4 linked regions of the Drosophila melanogaster genome follow. The protein of the gene in region 2 interacts with the protein of the main gene of each other region in a pairwise test. Each region holds a gene or a part of one and is shown on either strand. Other genes may lie near its edges.

What was found.
Region 1: the proteins of Fur2 (region 2) and Zdhhc8 interact in a two-hybrid assay, tested with the Drosophila melanogaster proteins (one large-scale study listed by BioGRID).
Region 3: the proteins of Fur2 (region 2) and Rgl interact in a two-hybrid assay, tested with the Drosophila melanogaster proteins (one large-scale study listed by BioGRID).
Region 4: the proteins of Fur2 (region 2) and Bre1 interact in a two-hybrid assay, tested with the Drosophila melanogaster proteins (one large-scale study listed by BioGRID).

Annotation. Positions count from the first base shown.
Region 1 is NC_004354.4:9,353,180-9,358,137, reverse strand, and holds the start of Zdhhc8 (zinc finger DHHC-type containing 8), read left to right. Parts: upstream 1-1,910; 5' UTR 1,911-2,023; exon of another isoform or gene 2,024-2,151; intron 2,152-2,959; 5' UTR 2,960-3,584; coding exon 3,585-3,676; intron 3,677-4,958. Other genes in the region: BCL7-like, read right to left, coding at 457-575, 873-1,218. UniProt on the Drosophila melanogaster protein: Palmitoyltransferase that catalyzes the addition of palmitate onto various protein substrates and therefore functions in several unrelated biological processes. Regulates tissue growth possibly by regulating Ras64B protein stability.
Region 2 is NC_004354.4:16,371,384-16,376,135, forward strand, and holds the start of Fur2 (furin 2), read left to right. Parts: upstream 1-1,702; 5' UTR 1,703-1,804; intron 1,805-1,838; exon of another isoform or gene 1,839-2,040; intron 2,041-2,246; exon of another isoform or gene 2,247-2,451; intron 2,452-3,157; exon of another isoform or gene 3,158-3,377; intron 3,378-3,542; 5' UTR 3,543-3,672; coding exon 3,673-4,476; intron 4,477-4,541; coding exon 4,542-4,646; intron 4,647-4,708; coding exon 4,709-4,752. Other genes in the region: nonA (no on or off transient A), read left to right, coding at 1-164. UniProt on the Drosophila melanogaster protein: Furin is likely to represent the ubiquitous endoprotease activity within constitutive secretory pathways and capable of cleavage at the RX(K/R)R consensus motif.
Region 3 is NT_037436.4:13,916,960-13,921,827, reverse strand, and holds the start of Rgl (Ral guanine nucleotide dissociation stimulator-like), read left to right. Parts: upstream 1-1,862; 5' UTR 1,863-2,634; coding exon 2,635-2,637; intron 2,638-4,868.
Region 4 is NT_037436.4:5,789,281-5,795,867, reverse strand, and holds Bre1 (Bre1), read left to right. Parts: upstream 1-1,675; 5' UTR 1,676-1,812; intron 1,813-2,015; 5' UTR 2,016-2,022; coding exon 2,023-3,168; intron 3,169-3,282; coding exon 3,283-4,172; intron 4,173-4,224; coding exon 4,225-5,323; 3' UTR 5,324-6,037; downstream 6,038-6,587. Other genes in the region: Tektin-C (tektin C), read left to right, coding at 1-319, 725-1,304. UniProt on the Drosophila melanogaster protein: E3 ubiquitin-protein ligase that mediates monoubiquitination of 'Lys-117' of histone H2B. H2B 'Lys-117' ubiquitination gives a specific tag for epigenetic transcriptional activation and is also prerequisite for histone H3 'Lys-4' and 'Lys-79' methylation.

The sequences.
Region 1 (4,958 bases), 7.0 Mb from region 2:
AAAAAGTAGCCTTTATGTTAGTACGCTAAGTTATAAACTAGTTGTTGTCAAAACGTCTAGAAATCGAAAGTCAAAAAACTTTACACGGTTTACAACATTCAGACTGGCTGTTTTGTATCTTAAGCAGCTATTACAAAATTACATATCCATTCTACGTTCGTACTCAAATCGATTCGCATGTCTTTCTAATAAATAAGTTGTCACATTTGATCTTAATGCTATGGACCTATGACCTATCGACCATCAGCTACCCCCGCTTTGATGACAAATAAATGAGGCTTATGGCGGGACAGTCTGACAGCCGTAAAGAAACTGCTAGTGTAAGGGAAGTGCTTAAGTCTTGGGCTGAGGCAGATACTCTCTCGTCGTCCGGTGCTGTCGGTGCTAACCTAACTTAACTAGGGCTCTTAGTTAGTTGCTGCTGCTGCTGTAGACGCTGTGCCTGCGAATGTTTGGCTAGTCGCTCGTCTTCAATCGCTTCACGGGTCCATCGCTGCCCTGCGAGTTCGAGTCCTCAGAGAAGGGCATACTCGACACGAAGTCGGCGCCCTGGCTGTCGGACACGACGGAGAAACCTGTGTACAGATAGAGATCGCATGAATAAGACAGAGTAAACATGTGCTTTGGAGTGATAAATTGTGCTGAATAGGAAATACGCTTTGAAGCCAAAAACCAAATGTAAACAATATCGCTAATGCAAAGACAGCAATTTTTATAGCAGCTCCGCAAGCTTATGAGACTAATGGCACCTCGTAAAGGTCCTAAAATCCATATACTGCATCCTGTTTTTTTGTTTTGGCTCCTAACGCAGTGCTTGCAGACATAGAACCCAACTACTTATTTAAAGAGAACCAGCACATAGCCATCCTTACAGGTGTTAGAGTCCTCGGCGGTTAGTCCCTGGTAGCTGGGCGTGATCTGCGGCGGCGTGGGCGTGCCCTTCTGAGAGTTCTCCTTATCGCTCTTGCTGCCGCCGACCGGCGTAACGCCCGAGCCGGGGGGCGGTCTCCGGACAGCAGCCGATCCCGGCGAGGACTCCAGCTTGGCCTTCTTCTCACTGGCGGAGGCGATGGGCACCCATTTGTAGATTTTCATGGTGGTGTCGCTGATGGTCACCCACTTCTTCTCCCAGTGGCGCACCTTGTCCACCGCCTGCATCACCCGCTTGATGTCATCCTTCGCCCGGCTGCGCGTCTCCGCCCGCACGCTGCGCGACATGTCTGTGGGTCGATGGCGCCTGGTCTGGCTCTTCCTGCTTTAATCGCTTTTCCTCCTTAGCCAAAGTCGGCGTCACACGAAAAGCCGCTAAGTGTTTTCGCTACTTCTGGCTGCTTCACAACTGAACTCTCCCCGTCTGGCTTTTAAGTGGGATCGTGTCTCGTGATTTTGGCTGGTCTCGACCAGTTAACCAGTGGATAGTTCAGTTTTTTTGGCAATTCGCAAAAATATTTTTTAATACAACAAAAATAAGTAATCGATAGCAAGCGTGATTTTCAACTGATGTTATCGAATGATTGCCCGTTGTTTTCACGGGCTGCAGTGTGACCATTGGCTAAAGGTCCGTGCTAAAGTGTGATAGCTTATTAATTCGTGTATGATTTGTAACTCAAGTGCTTAATTTTTGAGCTGAGCTAAATTATTAGCCGTTTGTTTTTGAACAGCTACAACCGTTAAATTTTTAAATAATAATTTTGAACTGTTAGTCCAACGGTTTCTATTATCTGGCAACGCCAATGTTGCCAAATGGTATAATCTAGTATATTTTCGTGTACCATCGTGAGAGTGATGGGCGAAATATCGATGCGCGATGAGTATCGATTTGTCGATTCTTTATCATCGACAACATATCGATATCACAATGCTACGATGTCACTTCGATGGCTCGATGGTTTTTCGATGTTTTTCCACCGACCGACGAAATTATGCGTACGCTCCGCTTATTTTTTATTTATTTTTTCGTAATGCGAACCGAACGTTCGCCGCCCATTAGAATGGAATGAAAAGTCGCACAAAGCCGGGAAAAGTGAAGTTATTTACGCGAATTGAAACTCGCAGTGCGTGCGAGCGAGAGCGATAATTAAGATGAAAATGCAGGCGACGCCGAAATAAAAAACAAAAAAAACGTTGCAGCAACAACGTGCGTGTGCGAATGTATGTGTGTGCGTGCGTGAATGTGTGTGTCTGCTGGTATATGTGAAGAGCCAGGCGAACGAGCAAGAGGGTGATAGGAGGACGAGGAAGAGAAGAAGAAGAAGCAGCGGTGGAAAAGAGAACGAAGAAAAGTGGGGAAAGACGAAAAAGGCAAAACGACAAACGCACACGAAATTGAAAATAGTTGTACGAAAATCAGGAGAAAGCCAGCGATCTTATTTTTTTCTTAAATTTTCCCCCTGGATAATTGATATTAGAAATGTGTGCGTAAGCTAACACCGATACTAACACCAATGCAAACGCAAGGCTAGAATCGCTCCTCGCCCGAAAGAGAAAAAGAGAGAGAGAGAGAAACGCAAACAAATTGGAATAAATTATAGAAATTTAAAATAAAGTAAACAACTCAAATGGCAGGAATTTAAACAAAAGTAAACAAGGGGAACGAGCGATATAAATTAGTTCAACATTTCGGAATTTAAGTTAGAGGAATCTATGTTAGTGTGATATTTTATTTCATTCTATGTTGTCATTTGATAAGTTAAACATTTTACTTAAATGTGCAGCAATATGCTAATTAGCACTAAACATTTTATTTTATTCAATCATAAGTATTCATTTTTTTAAGTGAGATTCTTGGGACTCAGCAGTAAATATAATACGAATTGATAGCGAATGTATGAAATGCGAGTGTAATGTGTCATTTGAAATTGTGATTTTTTTTTCAAGTGAAAGTTAAGTGAAATATTTTTCTTGAGTGTACCTAATCAGTTTCATTTATAAATTTATTTCTGCAATTTCCCCAAAACAGCAGCCGCTTCAAAAGCCAGAACTTTGAAAAGTCGAAGCTGAATTTTCCCCGAGTTTTCCCGATTTTCCGTTTCCCGCGAATCTGAAAGCCGCGCTGCCGGCGTCGCTGTCTCTGCCGCCGTCGACGTCGTCGATCCCGTTTCACGCGTCGCCGCTTCGTCTCGCCGTCTCGCTTGTTTCCCGCCCCCTCTCTCTCTGCCCCTCGCCCGACCCCGCCACCCGACCCTCCTACCAAAAGTACCCCCCCCCCCCAACCAAAAAAAAAAATAAAATCATCCTTAAACAAAATATAAAAGATACGAAATAAAACAACAAACACACAGAGAGAGAGAGCGAGTGAGATAGATAGATTGAGAGAAAGCCAAGTCAAGAAACGTCATCAAGCGGCAGCAGCAACAACAACAACAGCAGCAAGCACAACAACTGCAACTGCAACCAAAACGGCAACCTCATCAGCGACAGCAGCAACAAAAACAAAACGCATTTCATTGCCAAGAAGAAAAAAACGGTCAACGACACTGCAACAACATTGGCCAACAGCAACAACAACAAATCAGCAATACTGAGAGACTGCACTAGCAACAACAACAACTGAAACAACAACCAACAAATAGGAAAATAGGAAAATGCCCAAATGCGATGTGAAAACGCGCTACATTCCTGCGACTTTCGCCTGGATTGTGCTGCTTCTGACCACATTTCTCTTCTTCTTCTATCCGTAAGTAGCCATTTTAATGATAAAATAATTATAAGTTAATATAACATTCAACAGTTTAGTTCAGAAACCTTAAAAAAATGACCAAATACCTTTGAGTTTCTTTCGACTGAATTTCATTTCCATTGTCACAAAAGTAGTGCAATCTGCGAGTGGGTGCTATATATCACTAAATATATATGGTTAGTTTGCGGTGGCTTCGCGAGAAGTTCATGAATATTGAATGTGCCTTAGGCGGTATTCACTGTTGCCACACACGCGTACTTTCCTCTCTCTAGACCCCCCCCCCCCCCCCCACCCTCGTGGAGCGGCGTAATCAAAGACGACCCTTCGGCCTTCGTCTGCCAGCCAAAACCATAGAAAACCAGCCCAGCCACCCACTCAGCTTTCCACCCACCACCCACCATTGGCCCCACCCACATTATTTTCTTAGTAGCTTGCAGTTTTGTTGCTGGCACTTTATTTATTTTGCTCGCATTTTCGTGGATTATAACGACGAGCCGTAATGCATTATTATATGTGGGACAGCAGCTTTGTTGTTATCCAGTCTGGCCCCATTTACCACACCGCCCCCCCCCCCCCTAATTTTCCTTGTCTTAGTCATCTCTCAGTGGCCATTTTACTGCCCCACCGCCGGCATCTCCACCTCACACCGCCCCCGCCCCCCCACACTTGGCACTCAATTTGCAGTTTGCTCTGTGCGGTTTTTTCGCTCCTTTTTGCATTTTGCTGGTTTTTTTTTTTGCGCAAATTGTTTTCGTGTATTTTGGTCGTAAAAAGAATTTCAGTTTTCAAAATGCCGGGGGAAAAATGGATGAAAAAAAAATATGATGATGATGCACGTGGCTCGAGGGTCTGGCAGATTTTCCGTCTATGCCAGGAATACATATGTCACGGTAATTAGATGAAAAACTAGCATATGTTCAATATTTCATATTTCAAAAATATATTTCATGGAGCTAATGCAGCTTTTCCAAAAAACAAAAAAAACATGATAAGATTTGCTGTTTTCGTAATTAATTTGCGGTTTTATCTGAGCACATTATATTACTGCATTATTTATATAATAACATTATTATTAAAATCGTGAAACCTCCGCATGGTATAAACATTTTTTGCTTGTTTTTTTTTTTTTTTTTTTTTGAGACAACTAGAAGGCCAAGGGAGCAACAAATTTGCATAGCATGTGCACAATTAGCACATGAAACGAAACCAAAATAGCAATTAAGCAGTCTGTTTGAGACCCCCGAATGCCTCCCCACTGTCCGCAGACAGTTTTTCCCCA
Region 2 (4,752 bases):
ATATAATTTTAGTGGCATTCGTATTGGAAGAGTTCTCATCTCACGTGTTTTATACGAAAATTGTACAGAAATGTGAAAGCTTTAAGAAACGCACACAGCTTAATGCTCGATCAAATATTATTAAAAAATGCATAAGCAACTTAAATTGGTTAATTGTTTTATGATTAATTCGGGGATATGGAACTGCAATGAGCTGAAATGAAAAGCTTTGAAGATTTAAAAAGTATTAAAACATATAAGCATAAAACCCTTTCAAATAAAAAAGGTTGTATCCAAATGTTCTAAACAAAGTTCTTTTGATCGTAATAATCATTCTAATAGCTTCGTTTTATCGCATTATTTTAGTAAATTTATTTGATCTAACTCGTATCTTATTTAACGGTATCATTCAACAGCTGTTTACCTATGCTACCACCAATCTGGCAACACTGCAAAACCGATCTGAAAACATATTTTTACGCAAGTCAAACTGGCACTTGAATCTATAAATAGCAATCAAAAAGAAAGCTAATAATTTAATATAGGTGAAAAACAGGCAATTTATTTTTATTTATTTTTATTTATTGTTATTTATTGTTACGCAAGTCTAACTGGCATTAAAATCTATAAATAGCAATCGAATAGAAAGCTAATAATTTAATATAGCTGAAAAACAGGAAATTTATTTTTATTTATTTTGGAAACATTCATTTTTTCTATTTCTTTTATGCCGAAACCCGCTCGATTTGATACGTTTTTTCGTATTTCCGGCAACATAAAATAAGTCAGCGATAAGCGAAATTGAAATAAATAATTTAATTTTTATATTACTTCCAAGGCCTTTTTTATTACAGTGCACTTCCAATTTGCGTCTGCTTAAGGTTTGTGTATTACTTCCCATTGGAAACAACCATAACCTGTCCTAACCGCTAATAATTGTTTAATGGTGAAGCAGATATTAAAAAGTAGCGCGTTGCCTTCGCATCTGTTTGTATTTGCGAGCGTGTTTGTGTAGCGATACCGGGGCTCAAGATGCATATGTATGTACATACATTTGGGATTTGCCAAAATCTTTGGCTTAAATACATACATACAAGCAACCAAACATTTATGGGGGATTTTGTGCGACTGGATTCATTTGTTTTTCGGGTCACAAAAAAGCGGAAAATGGAAACGCTAATCTCGGCTAACCAATAACAACGAAAACCTTGCGCTACCGCTAAATGTTATCTCTTGTTTGAATGTCAGCGCTTAGAGAGCGTCTTCGCACGTATGTATGTACGGTACAAACATACGTATGGATGGATGGATGGACAAGCTTCCAGCGGTTTGTGTGTATGTATGTACTTGGCTTGCACGAAAGTTTCAGTTTCCTATCGAAACACGTCTTAAATGTGTATTTATCATCGGCTGTGGTACGAAATGCACGTCGGTGTATGCGTGCGTACGTAATAGTTGATATTTCTCTTTTTTTTTATTGTTACAGCACGGTTGCGTGTTATGTTTTGCATTTTGTTTTGAAAGCTCCGAAAGCTGTGCTTTATGTAAAAACATACGTACACTTGCCAATGTACGAATGTTTGATTGCACGATTGTATGTACGTACGTTTGTATGTTCGTTTGTACGTTAATACTTGGCGTGTGTTTGTGTATGCGGTTAGCACAAATCCAGCGAGAAAGAAACAACCAACGTTGGCTATATGTATTAACTTCAAAATAAAGTTCAGTTTAAGCTGGAGCGCAGTCGAGGTTGCGTCGCTTGTTCGTTCGGTCGGCTTTTTGGTCTTTCGGCTTTCGGCTAGTTCCTATATTGTATGTACGCATGGTAAGCATGCGTTCTCTTTCGCTTTTCAAGTCTCAGTTTCAGTTTTCAGTCTGTTCGATTGCGTTTGCATAGCATTGCATTGATTTAACAATAGCTAAATAAAGCTTAAAGAGTGTATCTGTGATTTATTTCTAAATGTGACCGCTTTGAGCCAATTTGTGCATAAATATGTATGTACATATAATGCTTTGGATTACATGAATCGCTATTGCCATTTCTGATGCACAATGATGTATGTATGTACGCAAAGAGCATACGAATGCATGGCTTGCATTACGTGATTTCATACATCTGTGGGTGTATGTATGTATGCACCATCGAAATGGCAACTCTTACGCATAAAAATTGCAAATGTGTATAAAGCCCCACGGACCCACACAGCCACATAAACATTATCGGACGCAAATGTATACATACAAAAAAAAGTTGGCTTGGTGGCTTAATTGTTGTTGTTGTTTTTTTGTTGATAGTGTGCACACAGTGCGAAATTAGTGTGATTAAATGTGGAGATGTGTGATTTAATAAGCATGTGGGAAATACAGCGAGAGTGATTGAGATGGAAAATGGGAGATGTACAAGCTGAACTTGCCCAGAAACATGTATACACACGTACATATGCATACGTTTGTAGGATTATGCTCGGCAAAGTGAAGTATTTCCTTACAAGCAAACACAGCCATATATGTATGTTTCTTTTTTTAAACGAATGGCACAGTAAAACAGAGACCGGAATAGATGTTGTCTGTACATATGATACTGTTGATATGATACCATAGCCATAATTTAATAGCCTTTTCATGTAGCATATGCGTCTAGCTATGCAATATCGGGCATGCATAACTGCATATCCTATGTACATATGTATATCGAAATATGGGATAAACATATCACTTGACTAACACATATGCATACATGCATACATACATACACATGTACTCATTAAAATTTAAAGATGCGTGCACAAATTTAAACATTGATAATATAAATTTATATGCAGCGCCGTGTGCATACATACATACATATATTATTTTCTAATTGGAAACGCGTTGGCAATGCCTAATTGGTTTGATTATAAAATTAAATTTCTTCATTTGGTCGCAGGTTTACGGTAACTCTCTGATTTTTAATAGGGTTTTCATATAAACAAGCGGGGTTCGATGAAGTGATATCCCCGGTTTCCCGTTATTTGTTTATACCTTTTTTTTTTTGCTTTCAATTGCTACTGAGTTCAGTATAATGCTATTTCAATAAATAATAATGTTAATTCAATTTAAAAGCTCGGGTTCCGTAGTGGTGAATATGTTAATTAGAAACATGATTAGAATGGGCTAATGCATAATTCCCCTATTGCAGACCCACTGCATCTTACACTTCGGGGGACTTTCTGACCGAAAACAATAGAATCAAATGACATGTGGATACACATGTGCATAGATACGTACATATGTATGTACAGAGATATGTACATATATGGCTTACTCATTGTTAACACTTACCTGTAGTTCCCCCCAGGTGATTCTGTTGTGTCATCCGACGAACAATGGATCATCGCAAATAGGCACTTCATTAATAAGTAAGCACAAACCGTTTCGGCCATAAATATCTGTGATATATGAATCATTTTGGCATCTCTGGTTATAAAAAGCCCACGTTTAACCGGTCCAAGGTTTTTATTTGGGTCTCTCGCACAACACAAATTCAATCTACAATTGAAGTGCTTTTTCGTGTTCTCTTGCAGATACTAGATCGTGAGATACGAGATCAAAAAAATAGATTCATGAGTACGACAACAGGAAAGGGAAACGTCGCAAAAGGACTCTTCGGGAGAATCAAACTACCTTAATACCATTAGCTAAACTTAGTTAAATATGTCAAATACGACGAGGTCCAGCCGAGTTACCATCGGTAGAATTGGAACCACGCCACAGATCACAGATCCATGGTCGTCCGGCTTGGAGAAGCAGCGACCTTCCCGCTGTGGAGGCCCCAAATCTCTCGCAGAGCCAACGTACCGAAAGATCGGACGGCGAAAGATGATGCTCCATATGCGAGTCCATGACCCTGGAACGACTGTAACACAAAGAGCAAAAGAAACGGCAACGGCAAAACTCAATAGAATCTATTTATGTACATTTAACCGAATGGCACAGAGCTGTATATATTTTGTATTATTTTTAGTAATCCTAAGCCCAAATACTAGTTGTGCTCTACGGAGTAGTGCGGGTGAGACTCAGAATTATGTCGGAATACTCAGCAACGATAGTGCAACGACCACATATGATGTGTCGTCCCTGCACAGCAGTAGAAGAACAAATCCCCCATCATCATCATCATCATCATCATCGAATGTTGATGTTGATTATCGTAATGACAGAGAGCTCCACAAGGTCGACCTGGTTGGCCTGGGAGGTGAAAGAGCGGGTCAAGCTGAGACCATTAGCGGCGGCAAATACGATTATAACTATGAAAATACTCACACAAATGCCAGTGCGAAAGATGAAATTGTTGAACGGCAGTCAAATAGCCTCGACTTCGACGGGGTCGATATGTTTGGCGCCTTCAGCATTCCGGAAGAGGCGATATACACAAATGAGTTCGCCGTCAACATTCCAGCTGGCAAGCAAATGGCAGATGTTATAGCTACCAAACATGGATTTATCAATAGAGGACAGGTGAGAATGTTTGTCCAACGCTGCAATGGAATTGGTGCTCATACAATTTACTTAATTTTTCATAGATTGGATCGCTGGACAACTACTATCTGTTTCAGCATCACCATGTATCGAAGCGTTCGCTGCGCTCTAGTCGCAAACATCAGGGCGCCCTTAAATCAGAGAACGAGGTGTGTACTCTCTAAAAAAGTATCCAGTTGGAGCAGAGATTTCAATCATGATTGCCTTGCAGGTGAAATGGATGCAGCAACAGCACGAGAAGGTGCGCCGAAAGAG
Region 3 (4,868 bases), on a different chromosome or scaffold from region 2:
ATCTACAACACCACCATCGGAAATTGCATCGCACCAGATTTTGAGCAGCACGCACCTTGAAGTAATTGCAGCATCTGGCCATCGTCAACGCTGCAGACTATAATGAGTCAAAATGTGGCCGACAGTTTGGTGAGTAGCTAAACCATTATCTTGTTCATGTACTCTAGTATATAGCAAGCGTAGAAAGTAACAGGGAAATGCATAGAAAGTCATTTTGAAAGTATCTCGCAGAGCACCGAACTTTGTGTGGAGGCTTTTTGCCCAGGTCTGCTAATTATTTGGTCAAATAGTCCGTAGACTAAGTTAATGAAAAATATGTTGCAACATTTTGATTAGAGTGGTGCCGAAAAATCGAATTAAAGAAATTTATAATTTATAATTTAATTTATAATTTTTGTGATATTTATTATCACGATCACAACACAAGAGCGGTTTTTTCGTATGACTAAAGTTTTGGAGCACAACATTTTTCATCTAAATATATATTATGACGTTTACGTTTTAAAATATTATTCTCCATACTTTCTGATAGGGAGAACAGCAATAATTTTAAATAAATTTACTATAGCTTTAAACCGTATTATTTTGACACCAACATCATGAAGCACATTGAGGGTCAATCTTTAATTGATCTCTTTTTCTAGCTTTATATAAAATTCGTTATCAGCATCACCAAGTGCATAACAAATATCAGTGCCTTTTTTTGTATTGAAACTTGTTGCATTCGCTAATTGATCAATTGACGTGCTCATGGTCTCGAATATTTATCCAATGTCTACAAGCAACAAACAAAACAGCAGGCATCGTTTGATTGGCGCTTACGTAAATGCACGTTTTATTAATATTTCTGCTTATTGATTTCCCCGCCAGCTTTCTTTAAATCGTTACCAAATACCAGACAACACTCAGGTATTCCCATTTCCATAATTATGTCATTCCAGTTCACATGTTTGAACGGTTGGTCAAATGATAGCCTAAAAAGCCAAACAAAACATGGAAGAAAATTATTTAAATTTCTTTGTTGGCATTAATCAAAAATTTGGAATAAAATCCTACAGGTTTAGGAGGCCCATAAATTCCATTGATAAATGTGAAGCTATAATGAAGACAAATGCTATTGTGGGGGTCAGTGTAAATATATACCAAAAAATACTAAAATTGACAGAGAGAGTTGAGAGAGAGTTCTGATTAGAAACAAACAAGCCAACAGTCAATTGCTCATCAGAAAAAACATAAACAGAGCGCGAATGGCCAGAGCAAGTAAGATTTTTATGTTTGTTCTGATACGACATATATATACCGTGTATTTATTTTAAGAAACTTATTTATTTATATTTAGCGTGTCAACAGTCACTAGGAAGAAGTTTTAAAGAAATTTGTTTAAATTGATTTAAAAGGCCAAGTTACCATAGTGCAAAAGAAATAAAATCAATTACCAATTCAATGGTAAATTGACAGTTTATCTGGAAAAAGTTCTATTTTAAGTTTATTGACTATAAATTGTGAGAATATGTAGGTGTTTTAAATTCGGAACCAATATTGGAATGCATTGTTAATGTTAACTGTGTTTTTGAACTTGTTCGATGCAACCAATATACCTTCACGCAAGGTGTAAAACCATAGTGGGTGTTTTGCTAGAAGTTCCCACGGTCGAAAACTTGAGTACCTGAGAAAAGCGAACGAGAGAGTGCAATTGAGAGAACGGGGATGCTACAGTTACATCCGTCGAGTAAGAACATCCCCCGAAAATGCTTGCGTTCTTAATGACAGAGAGTGGATCCCCGACAGAGAGAGCGTGTGGGAGAGAGTAAGCGAGAGTTGGATACAGACGATGGGGTTTCGGGCGGTCGTTTGTTCTAAGCGGGCAGAGTTCGTCTTCGACTGTTGTTGGCGGCGGTTGCGTCGCGTGTCTCTCTACCGAGAGCTTTGTGTGTGTGTCTCGCGCGCGTTTTACGCTCTGCGCCCCCTACGCTCCCCTTTTCCAAGTAGAGAAACCCCCGAATGTGAATTTTGTATAATGTTTTTGTAATAACATGGATATCTCATGTTGAGATTTTCAGCCAAGCGAATGAAAATGCAAGCGGTATCCCGAAAATTGCCGTTTACGTGTGTGCGAGTGCAGCATTAGCAAAAGGAAAAGAGATAAAAGTGAAAACAAATAAATAGTAGGGAAGACGTGCTAAAGCACGAGAGCAAAGAGGAGATTGCCAGGCAGACGCATAGACGTAGTGCAACGAACCCTTCTTCGCGGACCAAGGATTCACCACTTACCACTAACCGGAGAACAAATACCAATATTAACCCCCCCACCTCTACTGCTACTGGGTGTGTTTCTCTATGTCCCGTTGACTCATCGTTCCCAGGAAGCTGAACAACGGTATAGCGGCCAGAACACAGAAGCCCAGTACAAAAAAAGAGCAGCAGGAATATCGATTTTACTTGCCTTTTACTTATACAACACCCCCACCACCCATTGAACTGCACTTGGGTGTAAAAATAAAACACCAGAAGCCATTAAAGGAGACGTGTAAATTAAAGCGAACCGACGAGAAGAGGATAACGGATAGGAAAACCCAAGCAGTGCATCCGTGGAAATCTCAGCAACATTTCTCAAGGAACAAAAGCCAATCTCAAATGGTAAAAAAAAACAACGCAATCCATCAGGCCGGATTAGAAAGGAGCGCACTTTAGATCTATTGGTTCTTATCCTGCCCTTACAGTGGTCACTCGAACGTTGATACATTGAAATGTTTTTTTTTAACAATATATTTAAAACAAGTACATCATATTTCTGCAATAAGCAATACATCGGTAACAAACTCCTGATAAGATAAAAACATTAATGGCTTGAATTTTATTACTATTGACCCTCGCCCTTAAATCAACGACATGGATAATTATCGATAATGCGCACCTTTTTTTGTCCGAGAATTTTCAACCCTGAAAACTAGTTGCTGTGTACTTGATCTGGTTTTGTGTGGAGAGGGATTACTGTAGTGTCTTGGTGTCGATTCACAAGGAAATGTCAACAATGATTATGGGCAAAAATGCAATGGTATGGAAACTTTACGCCTAAGTGGAGTCCAGAAATAAAACACCTTCTTTTGGTGGGGAAGGAATAGGAATCGATAAAAGTCGGGAATTTTTTACAAGTTATAAATGAATCATATGGGAACTGCCAAGCTTGGAGAAGCTTTGTTTTGGGAGTTTCGAGAATTTATATGCTAATTAAAAAGCATTCAAAATTGGTATACTTATGCTTGGGAACAAATGGTGTAGGGTATTCTTAAGTGATGTATATAATTTGTTTCGCAGGTGAAAGATAACGAATTAAAGCTATGAATTTAAAGGTGAATCAGTTTGAGATCATTTCAGTTGCAGTCCCAGTTATATTTTCGTTTCTTTATCATCCATTTATGCGGAGTGCCCCTAGAAATCATTTATCAGCTCCCATTGTATGCAAAACAAAAGCTCCGCCCCCCACTTCCTTTACCCACTGGCGAATGATGGGGGAATGCATAAAAAAAATAATTTACGTGGGGAGCTATGCTCAGTGGCTCAAACTTTAGCTTAGGTTGATATGTTTTTGTATTGTTTGCACATCATCTCTGCTGCTGCCCAACGGATGTGGTTTGATAATAGCCGAAAGAGCGGGACAGCTGCTCTGCAGTAGAGACAGATACATATGTACATATACACGTTAAATAAAAGTTTTATTCGGATATGAATTATGGTTTTTGAAATTAAAAATTGCAACAGGATGTGGCATCGGTTGATATTCGTTATGTTGTAATATAGCGAAAAGGAGACATTAGGGATAGAATATCGAATGCCAAGTAATGCCTGTTCTATTATTTCTCATAAACACAAACGATGTAAAATCTTGATGGACCTGTGTTAGTAGGCCGATGCAATTAAATTTGATCATAATTCCCTTCATTTTTTTTTATGTGCACCGAGGGAGCAGCAAATGTTGTCAAGTTGACTGCGTCGGATGCAGTCGCATGTAACTGACAGTCAGTCAGAGTCATTTAGCCAGTCAGTCATTTAGTCAGTCAGTCATTCAGGGATGACAGAGGGAAGGGGGAGAGACTGGTGTTTAGTTTCAGTCGTTTTTTTCCCTTGGCGTTTTCAATTTTGTTTTGCGTTGTTTTTTTTTTGCCGCTGCTTCTGTTGCTGCAATTCACAAAACTCGTGCCAGGGGTCGTCGATTTAAAAATAGAGATTTGTGTCTACAATTGCGGTCAAAATAAATGCCTTTTCATTTTTCAAGACAAGCGAAATGTATTGCTTATTTCGGACACCTAATCTATTGCCGCCAAGAACTAGGAAATTCTCAAAGAACTGTTTTTACATCGATACAAATTGCAATACTTTTACCTATAAATCGAATATCTCAAACGGAATACTATTTTACTATCTCAGAGTCATGTTTCATCATTTAAATATTGATCCATTTCCTTAGATGTATTTTCACTTTTAATCTATCAATATTGTGACCTCAGCTGTATGGCTGTTTGTTGATAAATTCACCCCAAATGCAAATGCAGTACCATTTCGCTTTGATGTTGCGGTTCGACTCTCCTTTGTTTTGGTTTCTGGCTATTTTTGCGAAGATCTGTAATTGAGAGAAACCCCCCCTGGGCGGAAAAGCAGAAAACGCCACCCACACGCTTTTCTGGAGGAAAGGTCACCTGCTTTATATATAGACAGATGATGATGTGGGCCGACCAATCAGGCGCCCCCTCATACTTGGATGTTATTTCTTTATAATTGGGTGCCTTGTATACACAAACACGAATATGTTTGACAATTGCCCGTCGTCTGGCATTATAATACTATATTATTTCATTACTTAATGAGCTTTA
Region 4 (6,587 bases), on a different chromosome or scaffold from region 2:
TCCTGAAGGACAAGTCGCTGGCCATTTGCAAGCAGTGCCTGATCCTACGCGAAGGTCGGATCGGTGTGGATTTGTGCGACGACGAGGTGGATCGCTCGCTGCGCCGTGAGCTCAAGGTGATCAAGGGCTGTCAGGGATTGGCCGATGCCGCCCTCAAGGAAGCCGAGGAGCAGATCCGCAAGCTGCGCGCCGCCATCTATTTGCTCGATCAGGATCTGGCCGCCAAGGATAAGTCACTGGCCATCGACGAGAAGAACCTGAAGCTCAAGGAGTTCCAGCACGACCTGGCTAAGGGACAGGATTTGTCCAAACAGCATTGGTAGGTTTTTGAAAACTAGGTTGCATGTCAATCACACATGTTGGGGTTTCCTTTTTAAGGAATGATGAAGTGGATTGATTATTAATCTTTTTTCTTTCACTTTTATGCGTAAGTCATTTCGGTGTTCATCAGTACAAGGAGTTTAAAAGGATAAACATTTTACTAGAGTCTTATCCACAAATTCCATTACAAAGTCAAGTAGTTGTTCCCCTTTTCAGTTAGGAATGGAATTGAGGAAGGTCAAACCTAACAATGAAACCGCAGTTTCCTTGGTGATATGGGATAGAGTTGTCCTGAGTCTATTTTAGTGCATTGGAATTAAGTGATTTATTTACAACCACTCAAATCGACCTGATAGTTGCCATGACTCCACCATGCCTTTACCCCCTTCTCTTCCTTACCCAGCCAATTTTCGCTGACCGAGTGGCAGGCGCAGACGTACGAGAATCTGGAGGCCAACGCCAAGGCGCTGGTGTCCGCCGGGCAGCTGCGGGCCTACATCGATTTGCTGCTGAAGCAGGTGTGCGAGGATATGCAGAACCAGACGGACAGGACCAACGAGGCCTTTGAGCGAAGGATCTCGGAGACGAAGCACGTGAAACAGTGTTTGGAGAACAAGCACAAGGACACCATGGATCACATCCATCAGGTGCAGCGCAACATGACCGAGCTGGAGAAGGAGATGATGGACAAGCAGCGGGCCATTACACTGTGCCAGACGCGGCTCAGCAATCGCGCCCATCGTCCTGGCCTGGAGCTGACCTGCGACATGGTCCAGGATGCGCTTTACAACGAACTGCAGGCGCTGAAGGCATCCGTATGCAAGCTCAATCAGAAGCTGAACGAGAACAAGGCATCCATGCGCTACCTGATGCACGTCCAGGTGATGCAGGAGGAGGAGATCAACATCAAGGCGAACACCTGCAAGATCGACGAGGTCGACTGCATGACCCTGCGACAGGCCCTGAAGTACCAAACATTTTAGTCGGGCAGCACTACATCCAGTACAGCACCAGTCCAGTAGTCGCCACACAGCCCAGCCACCAATAATCAAATTAAAATCTAATTATTAGATGCATGTGCATTTCGTGTTCGATCCCAAATTACTTAATAAATTGAAATTCACTTTCGATTTCCAGTTACCAAAACTATGGCTTTTTAATGCATTTTTAAATTGTTCATTTTATTCGAAATAGTTAATCATATATTTCTTTTGCTTAATTTTCGTGAATTTAAATTTCCCGCTTTGAATCTAGTATTTTTAGTTTTACCTGCCTCTATTCGATATTTACCGCTAAGCACAGACATATAGTTATCGATAACGTGAACGCAAATGCGAGGGAGTATTGCAAATAGTGTTACCGTGCTGCTGTGAAAATTCCCAGGTGTGACCGCAGCCCGCATTCGATATTGATGAAGCCAGGCAAAACGTAGAAAAGCAAAAGAAAACCTTAATTAATGTTAAGTTAAAAGTGTATAAACCCGAGATTAAGGTAAGTGGCCCACCACCATCTAGATTTTGAGTACACCGAAGGCATGGCGATGTTGGCAGTGGCGGGAGCGTTACGCCTCTACCGCCACCGCCTCCGCCGCACACGATAAAAAATGGAGTACAGCCACGAATGGGCAAATCAATAATTTTCAACACTCCAATTGTTTTTACAACTGAAATCAGTCCTAATCTTGTTTTCCGCAGTGCAAGGATGTCGAAACGGAGCGCCGACGACGCCACCGGCAGCAGCTGCTTGGTGGCCGCCGCAGCCGCCGGCCAGCCGCCCATCAAGAAGGTGCACTTCGAGCCCCATCTGATTGGGCCGGTGTCCACGCTGGAGGAGATGGACATCAAGGTGCTGGAATTCCAGAACAAGAAGCTAGCACAGCGCATCGAACAGCGGATGCGAACGGAGGCGGAGCTGCGACATCGAATCGAGCAGCTGGAAAAGCGGCAAACGCAGGACGACGCCGTTCTAAACGTGGTCAATCGGTATTGGAATCAGCTGAACGAGGACATACGAGTCCTGCTGCAGCGCTTCGATGCCGAGACGGCCGACGAACTGGAGAACCGGAATGAGAACGAGGTGACCACCTCGTTTCTCGCCCAACTGTCCACCTGGGACAAGGAGGAGCTGGACGAGAAGCTGGCCAACCGCGTCCAAGTGTCCAAAAGGGCGGTCGCCAAGATCGTACAGGTTATTGATAGGTTAATGCAACGCAATGAAAAGATAACTCATGTCTTGAAAGGTGATAGTCTGGCTTCAGCTGGCTCCGGTTCAGGAGCGGGAGCTGGCGGCGAGGAGGAGCAGCAGCAGGCCAGCGGCGATGCGGAGACCACAACGTCATCGGCCGGTGTCCATGCGCTAGAGGAAACCCTGAAGCAAACGCACATCGAGATCATGAGCGAAAATCACAAGCTGCAGAATCTGAATACCTCGCTGCACGAGAAGTTCCACACCATGTCGCTGAAGATGAAGGAGTACCAGGACGCTCATACCGCCAAGGAGACGGAGAACGCCGAACTGAAGAACCAGATAGACGAACTGCAATATGACCTAGAGAAGATCCATTGCCGGAATGATAAGCTGGAGAACCACTTGGCCGAGGCTATTGAAAAGCTGAAGGCCTACCACCAGATTTACGGTGATCCCAATAAGAGCACTAATAGTGCCAAGACACCAACTACCACAGGCAGCGGCGGCGCCACCACCAGCGTTAATAGCCAGCTATTGGAGGAGCTGCAAAAGGAGCTGGAGGAGTACCGCGAACTGGCCAACAACCGACTGCAGGAGCTGGATAAGCTTCACGCCACGCATCGCGAAACCCTGAAGGAGGTGGAGAAGCTTAAAATGGATGTAAGTTTTGAATGAATAATGTATTAGCTTATCTGGAGCATTGCTAATTATAGTTAGTCATTTCGTTTATATTTTCTTTGTATTATACTGATTCATCCTTAAAATCCATTCCAGATACGACAGTTGCCGGAATCGGTAATTGTGGAAACCACGGAGTACAAGTGCCTGCAGAGCCAGTTTTCCGTGCTCTACAACGAGTCCATGCAGATAAAGACCATGCTGGACGAGACCCGAAACCAGCTTCAAACGAGCAAGAACCAGCATCTGCGACAAATCGAAGTGATGGAGAGCGAGGAACTTATTGCCCAGAAGAAGGTGCGCAGCGAGATGATCCAGATGGAGGACGTTTTAGCCCTCATCCGAAAGGAGTACGAAACGCTACGCATTGAGTTCGAGCAGAACATGGCAGCCAACGAGCAGACGGCACCCATCAATCGCGAGATGCGCCACCTGATCACCTCTCTACAAAACCACAATGGCCAACTGAAGGGTGAGGTGCAGCGCTACAAGCGAAAGTACAAGGACACGTCCACGGACAACTTGAAGCTGCGTCAGGAGCTGGCCGATGCACTAGCTACACTCGAAGGCAACAAGTTGCAGGCGGCGACTGGTGCGGCTGGCGAAGAAATCAAGCAGGAGAACTCAACAGGTGTGAAGGAGGAGAACTCCAACAACGTTTCCGCCAGTGGACAAACAAACCAAACAAATTCCGGCAACGATACCAACGTAGCCATCAAGGAGGAGAACCATATCTCGGCTGAAGATGAAGCTGATGACGAGGCCAGTGGTAAGGACGTAAAAGACGGCATCAAGCAGGAGAAGCTCAGTTCTGGAGACGCGGCGGCAGCTGAGAAGAAGGATTCCCCTGGACCCGGAAACTCAACAAGTTCTGCGACCAATTCTGTTCCCGTCAAAAACGAAAAGGATTCCAAGGATGGTGTCAAGGGCAAGGATGTGAAGGCAGTGGAAAGTGAAACGGTGCGCGATCTGAAGGCGCAACTAAAGTAAGTTTGTTCAGCAATTACGATTATCTATTTAACATTGTTTGATTTACAGAAAAGCACTGAACGACCAGAAAGAAATGAAACTCCTGCTGGATATGTACAAAGGCGTATCGAAGGATCAGCGCGACAAGGTCCAGTTGATGGCCACCGAAAAGAAACTGCGCTCCGAGATCGAGGAGCTCCGCCAGCAGCTGAAGAAGCTGCAGGAAAGCAAGCGCGAGGAACGCAAGAAGCTGGCCGACGAGGAGGCGTTACGTAAGATTAAGCAATTGGAGGAGCAGAAGTACGAGCTGCAAAAACAGATGGCCAACCACAAGCCAACGGATAATTCTTGGGGCAGTGGAGCCCCCGGCACAGCGAACTACACGCGACCGTTTGTTGGTTCCCACGAAGAGGAGGCACTGCTGAACGAGATGGAGGTTACCGGCCAGGCGTTCGAGGACATGCAGGAGCAGAACTCCCGGCTCATACAACAGCTGCGTGAGAAGGACGATGCGAACTTTAAGCTAATGTCGGAGCGCATCAAGGCCAACCAGCTGCACAAACTTCTGAGAGAGGAAAAGACGGTGCTGGAGGATCAGATGGCAACGGCGACCACGCAAATCGAAGCCATGCACATTGTGCTGCGAAAGCTGGAGGAGAAGGAACGCAGCCTGCAGGCCACCGTCGCGTCGATTGAGAAAGAGTTGATGCTGCGGCAGCAAGCAATGGAGATGCACAAACGCAAGGCGATTGAATCGGCGCAATCGGCAGCGGACCTCAAGCTGCATCTGGAAAAGTATCACGCGCAAATGAAGGAGGCGCAGCAAGTGGTGGCGGAGAAGACCAGTTCGCTGGAGGCGGAGGCCTACAAGACCAAGCGGCTGCAGGAGGAGCTGGCGCAGTTTAAACGCAAGGCGGAGCGCATGAAGAAGATGGAAATGTCGGGCACCACCATCGACGAGGTGATGATTGAGGAGATCCGCGAATACAAAGAAACGCTCACGTGTCCCTCGTGCAAGGTGAAGCGGAAGGATGCTGTCCTGTCAAAGTGTTTCCACGTCTTCTGCTACGACTGCCTGCGCACTAGATATGAAACGCGGCAGCGGAAGTGTCCCAAATGCAACTGCGCCTTCGGCGCCAACGATTATCATAGGCTATATCTGCAGTAGATAAGCGATAATTTAGATACGTTCCGGTCATGTCCTATTCATACACAAATCCACCCACGCCACACACCACTACCGCACACCCAGCATTCATGCCGGATTATTATTCATTATGCATATATTACCTACGTACTAATATTTGGTTAAGTAGTCTCCGAATAACTTTCCCCCACCAGATTTCCCATGGCAATTATTTGAATTCGTTCATTCTGGCGCCAAGCAAAAGCATCTCATTATGAGTGCCGCGAGATCGTGACGCGGTTTTTATGTAGCTTCTAGTTTTTGTAAATCAAACTATTTTTAAATGATTTCATTTGAAAACTAAATGTACGAACACTAATAAATGGCTAAAACCTATTGTTTAGCATGCCCCGAGTTATTTAGATACCCCATATATACATAAGTGTAGGTTCTTTGTCTTGCATTCAGTTAGCATTATATTAAGCGTATTCTAATCTTAAGTTAAATACTCCTATTGTAATGATCAAACGTAGCATAGATATCAAATGTATAAACTTGGCGGAGAATCCGTTTAAAAGTCGCGCTTTGCTTTGAAGGGCTGCTAACTTGGTTATAATTGATAAGTAATTGTAATAATGTATGATCGAAAATTGTTGTTCAGCTGAACAAAACGAGTTTTGATTGCTTTTTTGTTTGTGTGTAAATGTGTTCGTTCTTTATGTGTACTGTTTAACGAATAAAGAAACTAATGATCAGAAATCGTGACTTTCAATCAATGTTATCTCTCTACATGAAATCCACCTGTTAGAGCTGTTAGCACCCACGCACTCATGTTAATAACATCGATGCTTATCTGAAACCTGTAACCATTGGCGCGCAACAGGTTATCGGGGTTTAAAACGCTATGCTGGTATTTTGTTCTCTACAGAAAGTAGGAAAGTGGCCATAACTATAATTTTATGTATAAACAGTTTGATCATATTCTAAATTTCTATTTTATGGCACAAGAACATAAAACGAATGGTTAATTTAACTCAACTGGTATAAATTGGTAATTATCATTGCATATTTTCTATTTATAAATATTTAATTGCGTCCAACTGGACCAAAGTCTTTTGAGCAATTGTCTTAATTTTAATTTGCATCACACTTTTGCAGGCAAATCTAGTTTAAGTTAGCCGTGTTAGGTTCCAATTGGCCAGAACAGCCCAGTTGGCCAGGCCATTCCCCAGTAATTATGCTACCTAGTATTTATTACAATGGCTCAAGAGCAACGACATTGTCTTGTGCAATTATAATTAACAGC